Linked DNA regions of Caenorhabditis elegans. The protein of the gene in region 2 interacts with the protein of the main gene of each other region in a pairwise test. Each region holds a gene or a part of one and is shown on either strand. Other genes may lie near its edges. The genes, in order: lrx-1 and cpg-1.

The links.
Region 1: the proteins of cpg-1 (region 2) and lrx-1 interact in a two-hybrid assay, tested with the Caenorhabditis elegans proteins (one large-scale study listed by BioGRID).

Annotation. Positions count from the first base shown.
Region 1 is NC_003283.11:12,251,111-12,256,218, reverse strand, and holds lrx-1 (LRP X(cross)-hybridizing), read right to left. Parts: upstream 3,535-5,108; 5' UTR 3,442-3,534; coding exon 3,355-3,441; intron 2,858-3,354; coding exon 2,753-2,857; intron 2,671-2,752; coding exon 2,386-2,670; intron 2,204-2,385; coding exon 2,074-2,203; intron 1,874-2,073; coding exon 1,748-1,873; intron 1,701-1,747; coding exon 1,566-1,700; intron 1,520-1,565; coding exon 1,403-1,519; intron 947-1,402; coding exon 825-946; 3' UTR 769-824; downstream 1-768. Other genes in the region: T04H1.12 (Activin_recp domain-containing protein), read right to left, coding at 390-576; T04H1.5 (G patch domain-containing protein 11), read right to left, coding at 3,870-4,008, 4,092-4,647, 4,698-4,872.
Region 2 is NC_003281.10:4,487,377-4,492,026, reverse strand, and holds cpg-1 (Chondroitin proteoglycan 1), read right to left. Parts: upstream 2,669-4,650; 5' UTR 2,665-2,668; coding exon 2,415-2,664; intron 2,363-2,414; coding exon 1,617-2,362; intron 1,571-1,616; coding exon 1,000-1,570; intron 953-999; coding exon 765-952; 3' UTR 635-764; downstream 1-634. UniProt on the Caenorhabditis elegans protein: Required for polar body extrusion during cytokinesis in embryo development. Affects cortical granule size. Has roles in meiotic chromosome segregation, osmotic barrier function and polarization in conjunction with cpg-2. Binds chitin.

The DNA.
Region 1 (5,108 bases), on a different chromosome or scaffold from region 2:
CATGTGCACTGACAATAAAAAATAAAATTCGGAATTAGGATAGTTCGGATTTATTTAAATTGAAATTGACTTTGCGAAACTTTTCAAACAAAATTGATAGATTTTTTTCAAATCAGCCTTGTATTGGACCAATTATATAATTTGTTCAAAAATTGGCAAGACTTTGGTAAAACTTAAGAAATATTTGGTTTTGAGCGCGCCAAAAATTTTAAAAATTTTAGCTCAACTTTGTTCAAACTTCTGCCAACTTCTGATTCAATTTTTTGGACCAGAACTTAATGACAGTTAATGGTAGTTAATCAATGTTGGAACAAAAAATATTGAGTCGGAGACGGTCAATACGAAATGATCAATATTAAAAGTTCCAACTTCAAAAAATATGTGCATACCAGAATTCTGACTAATTTGCATTGTCTTCACACAAAGTGCATTATTCAAACGACAATGTGAGCTCATTGGTTTGACGAGAACTCTGTCCATGTATGATGTTGAGTTGATGCACTCCAGTGATATACATATTAACGGAAGTAATGTCAAAAGTGTGAAAATAGTAACAGAATATACGGAAATACTCATGAGTCTAACACTGGTTGACTTTCGGTGTCAAAGTTGAAAAGGGGTAAGAGTAACAAAAAGAAGAGAAAAAGAGAAACAGTAAACCTTGAAAAATAACCAGTCCCCACCCTTTTCGACCTCTTTTCCGTCAAATTTTCAAAGCGAAACTAATCGTTTTGTCAAATAATTTGAAAGAATATTTCAAGAAGCAATGACATTCATGTATTTATTTATAAATTAAGGGAAATCGACAAGAAGTTCAGCAGTATCTAGTAACAATATTTTTCATCAGATCCATCAGCACAATCTGTTTCTCCATTACACCATTGTAGACGTGTCACTGATTGTTTTTGATTCTCGCAGAGCAAATATTTTTGGCGTCCTTCTTGTTCTGAAATAACAAGTGTAGTATTCGTCAGTGTTTATTTGGACACTTGGCTAAAAATACTTTTTTTCCTATGTTTTTGTCTCGAACAAGAAAAAGTTCGCACATTGAAGTTGTGCCAAAATGTGTGGTTATAGTTAAGAAAGACATTCCAAATTGTATGTATTTCTATTAATGTTGCACTCCCAATGTTAGACTTTGACAATTAAATATCTCAGTTGTCTTTTCTCCTATTTAAAAATTGTCATTTGACAATTTTTTGAAAACTTTTTTCTATCGTTTGCAGTCAATTATTTATTGAAAAATATGTTCAATATCTTTAAATTGAACCGAGGTATAACCTTTTAAAGTGAAATAGTAGGATGCGATATTATTAGAGGAAGTACTGTACATTATTTCGCCACTTATAACTTTCCAGAGGTGTTTTCCGGGTGAGAAGAAGGGAGGCAGAAAAAAACTTACTACAATTCATTTCATCTTCTCCATTTAAACAATCTTTCTTTCCATCACAATGCATATCTAAATCCACACATGAAACACCTCCACGCGATGTTCCACAGACGAACTTTCCAATACAAGCTTTAATTACTTTGTTATAAAGTACATTTTAAAAAGTAAAAATTACTTGTATTTTTACTGCATCCAATTTCATCAAGATTCGATCCATCTTCACAATCATCAGCCACACCGTCACATCTTTTGTTTGCAGGAATACAATGTTCACTCTTCACACATGCAAACTCATCACGTGCACACGATGCTAAAGGTTTTCAATTTAATTGGCAATTGTTGTAATGAGTAACTTACGACAATTGTTCTCATCTTCCCCATCGGCACAGTCTGGGTGACCATCACAACGTTTGCTCACATGGATACAGGATTGAGGCATTGCACAACAAGCAAACTCATTTTCAGTACAGGTGTCTTTGATTGCTGCAATATCAAACACTATTTTATATTGGAGCTTTTTGTAAATAAATATATTTTATAGATTTCGAGAAAAAATCGATGAAATAATTAAGTTTCCATAAAATCAAAATCAGAAAATTGCAGATTTACAAACTTTCAAGCGCACCTCATGGTGCATCAACGCCATATGAAATTTTATACATACTCTTAATTGAATGACTTACTACAGTGCATGACATGATCGTATTCTGGACAGAATTTAATAGCATTCTTGTGATTACAATTTTCAGTAGACTTATCAAATGCTTGATCTTCGGACATACACGCCAGAGGAAAAGTCTGGCCAATTGAACACTGAAAATATGAAAGAAGTTCGGAATTTCAGAAATCTATTGACTGTAGAAATATAAATATTGATAGCATACAAATAAAAATAGCTTATTTCGTGCATACAATAAAGATAAGTTTCAATACTTTAAATTATACATTTGTTCAACTATTTCTGTATTTCAGAAAAATAATTTCCAAAAAATTACCTGGAAGAAAACATGAGAGCATGAAGTGTTGTATACAAAATAATCAATCCTTTCTAATCCATATTGTGCTAGTACATCATCTGGGAATTCTCGTTTATCACAATAGTTAATTGCATAGCTGTTGTCTGGTTTTTCTGGAGCTTGAGTTTGAGGCATTGGTGGTGGGATTGTACCAGGTTCAACGATTCCAGATCCACCAAGTGGAAATACAGGGTTCACAACTTTAAATTGAGGTTCTTCAGTTTCATAAATGTCTACACTATCCACATCTGGTTCGACTACATCCTAAATATTGTTTCTTGATATTCTGGTAATGTAAACAAATATAGACCTATCCTCGGCCCTGGCCCAAGCCTTTATAACTTACAATATTTGGATATGGCTGCTGAACAGTATGAATGCTTGATTGAGGATTTGGAACGTAGCCTCCAGAACCAGACGAAGCACTAGGTTGTACATATGGATAAGGCTGCTGGAAAATATTTATACAATTCACTAAAGAAAAACGATTGTTTTGATTTTTTTCAAAATTAAGTTTTTAAATCGTCTGTGAATCCAATTGGAATCTTTATGTTGCCTAAAACCATAATGATTTTTTGTGCGATTTTTTGTCAAAATTAGGTCTCGATACGACAGAAATATTTTAAATACGGTGATTTTAAATAGTACTGTAGTGCGACTCATTTCACAATTTTTTCGATTTTACATAAATATTTTCCTTGTAGCTCATACCGATTTATATGTAAATACGAAACAAATAGTTAGAAATAAAGCATTAAAATCGGAACGAACGAGGAAAAATTGAAAAAAAAACTTGAACTTGAACTACAGTACTCCTTATAGGTGCAAATCCCTTGGCGAGCCCTTCATTTGAACAATATCTTGGTCGTGGTGAGACCCTAAGCATTAGAAACTTTGAGAAAGAGAAATAAGAACAAATGCTACAAATTTTTGAACAGTTCACTGTACCTGCTGAGTTGCTGTGCCATATAGATCCTGTGGAAGAACCGGTTGAACGGCTAGAAGAATGAAAAATATGGACGTTAACCATGCCATGATTTGCAAAATGATTGGCAATCAAATTTACCGGAACAGATCGAGAGAATGGATGAGCAGATGATAAAGATGGTGGAACTTGATGTTGCTGCCCACTGAAGACTGTAGCTGAAGAAGCACAAGTGTCGTGTGTGCACTGGACTTTCTTCTTTTTCAATTGTTTGTGTTCTTTTCTATCGCTAAAGAAGCTTTTCGCGCTGTTGGGGGCTACTGGTGGTGCGCGGCAACTGATCGCCACTTCAAGCTGACTGACTAGTGGTCACTTGTCACTTGATACGTTCCCACCTTGAGAAACAACACAGGAGCAGACAATAATGAAGCAAAAAAGCAAAAAAAAAAAGTGACACGATGTTAGGACACGAACTTGGTTATAAAAAAGGATTCATAGTATATACATCAAGAATTGAGATTTTATGAAAATAATTAATCTATTCATCTTCTCCATGATGTGCTCGACGAGTGCTCCCAGGACAATGTTCGATCATATCTTCTGGCGAGGAAAAGTTGGCTCCGCACCAAATACAATAGAAGTGACCATCTCGAAGATAATTGTTGATAGTGGAAAGTCTGAAATAAACGCATATTTAATACTATTGTCGGTTTGGATAAATAACGCTCATTGAAACCTTATCTACAAAACAAAAACTTACGCTTCTTCTAAAATTTCCGTTGACATTGTGAAATCATAATTCGGATCTTCTGGAGCTGCTAAACCATTTGAGTACTTATATTCTTCATCTTCTTTTTCAACTTTTTTATGGTAAGATGTAGTTTCCTCTTGAGCAACTTTATAACTTCTCCAAAACCACGAAACACTGGGAACTTTTTTTCCAATTCGATGATCCAACTCTTCGCACACCTTTCGACAAGATCTGATGTCTTTGACTAATTGCTTTGAGTTGGCATCAAGCTTCCGCCGTTTGGAATAGTCATCGATCAGCTCTTCATGCTTTGCCGCTTGTTCTTTCATTTTTTGCATTACAGCCTCAACTCGTTCATTGCGTTCTTGAACTGCTTCAACCTCGTGCCCAAGTCCCTTCCTATTAGCCTTGATATCGACACCAATTGGTTCCGTAATTCGAATTTCGTCTTCTCTTTGCTTTCCCAATGTCATACCAGGTTTGAATCCCATTTTTGCCATCAATGCAAATCCTTTCGATTCGTGGCTAATCGGTTTTGCGAGCGCCTCGTCGCGACGTTCTTTTTCTGAAATTTATTTGGTAAACTACAAAAATAATATACTACGATTTACAAACCTCGCTCAGCATGACTAGTTGGCCTTTTTGGTTTAAACGTGTCTCTGGACTCTTCAAATCTTGAATTTATTTGTAGTTCTCGCTTGTGAGCTCTAGATTTTGCAATTCCAACTGGTTGTTCACTAACTCCTTGGAGAATTTCAGCAGACATGTAGTCATCCTCATCGTCAGACATTCTGATCTTGAATCGAAATTTTTTATGAATAAGGTTAGCTTTTAACAAGAAGAAAGAAACAAAAGCGTAGCAAAAAACGCATTAGAATATTGAAACAGTTAGAAAATATTTTTCATTTCACATCGGCCGATGCATCGGGTTCATCTCGTAAAATATAAAACATGAGGTAACAACATTTGGAAACTCGGGAATGATCTGACAAAGCATAAAACATAATTAAAAGGTGAGCGAATCAA
Region 2 (4,650 bases):
ATCTCAAATCTCTTCTATTTCCTCTCATTTTTTCCCTTCCTCATCTTCTTCTAGTGTTGTGAGAAAATAAAACAAAATCCAGGTTTTTGGCGATAATTGATTAAATTTATATTCAAAAGCTAATAACTCTATTATTTATTTGGTTCCTTTTGCACACCTCCCCACGACCTAGTCCCAATTTTTACAAGTCTAGTTCTTTGTACAAATATCAAAACATCGCCAGGATATATTTTTAAAAAATCAAAAAAGATGTTCTTACCTCTTTCTCTCTCACCACCTGGAGACAATATTTAGGTACCGTGTAGATCAATCTTCCCCCGGCTCTCAATTCCCCAAGTTTTCACCTTCTGTTTCTTTCTTTTAATGTTTATTTTACTAAAATGAAATATTGCACCTACGATTTGTTCGAGAGGAGTACACGACCGAGAATTCAAAAAACTAATTTCCGCGCGAAATTCAAATTCGATAGACGCAGAGGTTGATTTTTGGATTTTTTATGCTCCAAAACTGACTTTTGAGCGAATATATCAAATACAGCTACATCAACTTATTTGGAAATCTTTCAGCGTGCTGGATACACCTCTAAATAGTCAAATTCTATTAAGACCCTCATTAAGACACAGTAAGAATTAGACAGGCACAAGCATTTTATTTTAGTTGCATGCAAAGTATATAATATATTACAGGTTAGTTGTGATATGGGTAAGTAATATGCATTGGGTGTATGGCACTGGGATGAGTAGGCATTTGATAGATTACTTCTTTCAGTAGTACTGAACCGTCGTTTGATGACACTCGGCGATTTGATCGGCTGGAGCGCAACGAGCTTGCTCTGGGGAGAAGAACAATCCGTTCTCGCAGATGAAGATTGCCTCTTGCCCATTGACGCAGTTCTTGTAGTGTTGAGAGCATGGCTCGATTGCAGTGGCTCCCTCGACACAAGCTGGGACTTCTGAAAATTAAATGTTAGGTTAATTTATTCGAAAACTAGAAATATACCTGTGGTAGTTTCAGCTGGAACGGTAGTGGTTGGCACATCAGCAGCGGTAGTGCTTTCGACAACAATTGGAGCGTAACCGATAGTTGTGGTTGGGATATCAGCTGCAGTGGTTTCAACGACTTCTGACTCGTATCCGACGGTGGTGGTTGGAACTTCAGCTTCAGTTGTGGTCTCTTCAACTTCTGGTTCGTATCCGACGGTGGTTGTTGGGACGTCAGCGGCAGTGGTGGTCTCTTCGACGTATGGAACAGTTGTCTCAACGACTTCTGGCTCATATCCGACGGTGGTGGTGGTTGGAACTTCAGCTTCAGTTGTGGTTTCAACGACTTCTGGCTCATATACGGCTGTGGTTGATGGAACGTCGGCGGCAGTTGTCGTCTCTTCGACATATGGAGCGGTAGTCTCAACGATTTCTGGCTCATAACCGACGGTGGTTGTTGGAACTTCAGCTTCAGTTGTGGTCTCTTCAACTTCAGGTTTGTATCCGACGGTCGTTGTAGTCTCTTCAACATATGGAGCTGTGGTTTCGACGACTTCTGGCTCGTATCCGATGGTTGTTGTTGGAACATTCTGAAATAAATTTTTATGCAAACAATTTCTATATTTTCAAACTCACTTCAGCAGTAGTTTTCTCACTAGGATATCTGGCAACATAAGCGGCGGCAATTGGTTCGGCATAATCCTTAGTAGATGGAACATCCTCTGCAACAGTTGTCGTCTCCTCATATCCGTATCCATTGCTGTATGGCATCTCTCCAGAAGATTCAGGTGTAGTCTCATCAGCGGATCCCTCGTCGTTTCCAGATCCATTCGTGCACTCTGGAACATTCATAACGTAGTCACAAATGACACGAGCTTCGTCAAAGGCAAGTCGGGCTGGGCATTGCATTGGGATCAGGTATCCATTTGAGCAAGCGGTGTAGTGGTCACTGCACTCTCCGAATGAATAGAATCCGTCAGCTTTTCCAACACACGACTTGGTTACGGCAGAACGAGTGACTGGCTCATCGGCAGCTGGAGCACCAGTTGTGTACGGAACGATTGGAGCATATGGGCTGGCAGTAGTCTCCACTGGGACTGGAACATCTTCGGCTGGAGTAGTTGTCGAGTAATCGTCGACTGGAGCATATGCTTCTGTGGTGGTCTCTTCTGGAACTGTTACATCCTCGGCTGGAGTAGTCGTGGCTTCTTCGACTGGAGCATATGGATTAACAGTGGTTTCCTCAGATGGATAAGCCTCTTGTGTTGATGTCACATCTTGTGGAACTCCACCACACTGTGGAACGTTGTACGAATATTCGCAGGCGACGATACGAGGATCATAAATGAGATCGGCTGGACAATCCATAATTCTCGAGATTCCTGAAAATTAAATATTGTTTTGGAATAGGGACTTTTTTCTAGTTTAACATACCTCCAGAGCAAGTCAAGAATTGTGGAGAACATCCTCCAATCGCGTAGAGTCCGTCTTCCTTCGTGGAACAGTCAGTGTCGATTGCCACAGCATCGGCTCCAGATACGAATCCATTATCAGCCCCAGAACCATCTCCACTTCCGTCCAAAGTTGTGGTCTCGAGTGGCAGATTCTCATACATTCCAGCTACACCGTACTGTGCGTAGGCCGATGCAACAAGGAATGCAAGAAGAACTGGCTTGAGAGTCATCCTACTGAAAATAGAAATTCAATAGGGTTTTTTAGAATATAGTTGAAAAGAAAAGCAAAAATGAGAAGAAAACAGAGAAACGTCGATAGACAAATGAGAATGAAGTTGCAAATGATTTCTCGAGTCCTCGTCGGCCAAAAATCATCGAAACAACATCAAAACAAATGTAAAAATCAAAATTTCCCGCAGTTTTTAGTTGGAGATCAAATAAAATTAGCTACGGTCGCTGCGAAAAATTGTTGCTGGCGCGTTTCGCGTGCTTGCGCGATATTTACGAGGTTATTTTTTGCACTCGTGTACTGTATAAAATTAAAGGCGCGTACACAAAATATTTTCAAAAATTAAATTCTCGTGCCGAGACCCAACCTGCATTAGATTGGCAGCGCCTTTAACTTGTTTTTGTGTTTTTTTTTGCGAAAAATTATTTTTCGCTTTTTCGGAAATAAAATGAACAAAAAAAACGATAAAAATGCGAAATTTTTTGAATAATTTGGTCTTTTCTAGACTCATACGAGCAACTGGTTAACCTTTCAACGTGAAATATTTTAATTTTGATTATCAAAGAATAAGAAATCCAGTTTTTATTTTTTTATTTACAAATTTCCTTCTGAAAATCACAGGAAGCAACTATCCACTGAAAATCAAATCACCCAATTGCAAAATTTTCAATTACGATTTTAGAGGAACCGCTTAGAACACAACAACACTGAATAATTTATAAAATTTTCGAGGTTTTCCGTTCCACTAATCCGCGAACGACACGACACGTCATCACAAACGATGGCATTCTAAAATAAGATTAACATTGTGCCTTCTCATTCCATTTTTTAGACCCATAGTTCCCCCCTTTAGTCTAATTTTTTTGGTTTTCTTGAAAGGATTTAGTTCTTGCAAATTCTAAATACTAAATAATTCAATATTACTAAATTAGAAAAAAAGGAAATTTCACAGAATTATGTCACAATGAGTGTACAGCAACCAAAATATTATTGAAAATGATGCCTTACACGTATATTTTTCTTGGTTTCCAGATGTTTTCTTCTATGACTTTCAGGGTTTCAAATGACGCCGCTTGGATATCCTTTTCATGTGGTTTCCATCAAAATATTCTCAGATTTATTGTATCCTGCACAATTTTTATCTGAAAAAATGTCATTTTGATTTTTGAGACCGCTGAGACATAAAATGCTGATTCACTCTTCAATCTATTATCCCTAAATAAATCCCCTTATTTCTTGTTCTTTCATTTTTCCCCTTTTTCATAGCCAGGATTTTATGATTCTTAAGAACCAATTATTCGAATAGGACTTTGAAAAATGTAAGCATCTTATCCTGTGTTACAATTCTTTTCATTTCTGTAAATTGCAATTTAGACATCGTGTACTTCCCGGGAAGAAGTTTGAATTTTTTGCAGAGAATTTTACAGTTTAGACTAAATGAATTTATTTCATATTTAGTAGCTTTATATTTGTAAATCTAAAAAATTTCTTCCATCAGTTTCCAAAAATTATTTCGAATATTTTCACACTTCCAAAAACATTAACCATTTTTACCAAAATCGTCAAACTCTGTACAAAAAAATTAGGAATATACTTTCCTCGAGGGATTGAATCGGCAAAAACATTGTTTATTCCAAAACATTTATTGAAATAAACTGCATTGCTTTGATCCAATTAATCAGCTCCGGAATTTGAATATTGGTTGAAAACTAGGAAAGATATTTCCGTCAGGCACTTTGAAAATCTCTAATCTTTTCAAAAAAAAAAAGGAATGTTTTAGTCGTAGCCAAAAAAAAACTAATTACCTAGCACTTATATCCATTTGGCTATATATCTCAATAAAACACACATGATTAATCAATCCACCAAATTCTTAGAATTCCATTTACAAGTGTCATTTGTTGTTGAGAGTGGGGAAATCATTGAGAGAAAAACTAATTTGCAACTAGTAATATTCTTTGAAAACGTACATATGATCACATTGAAA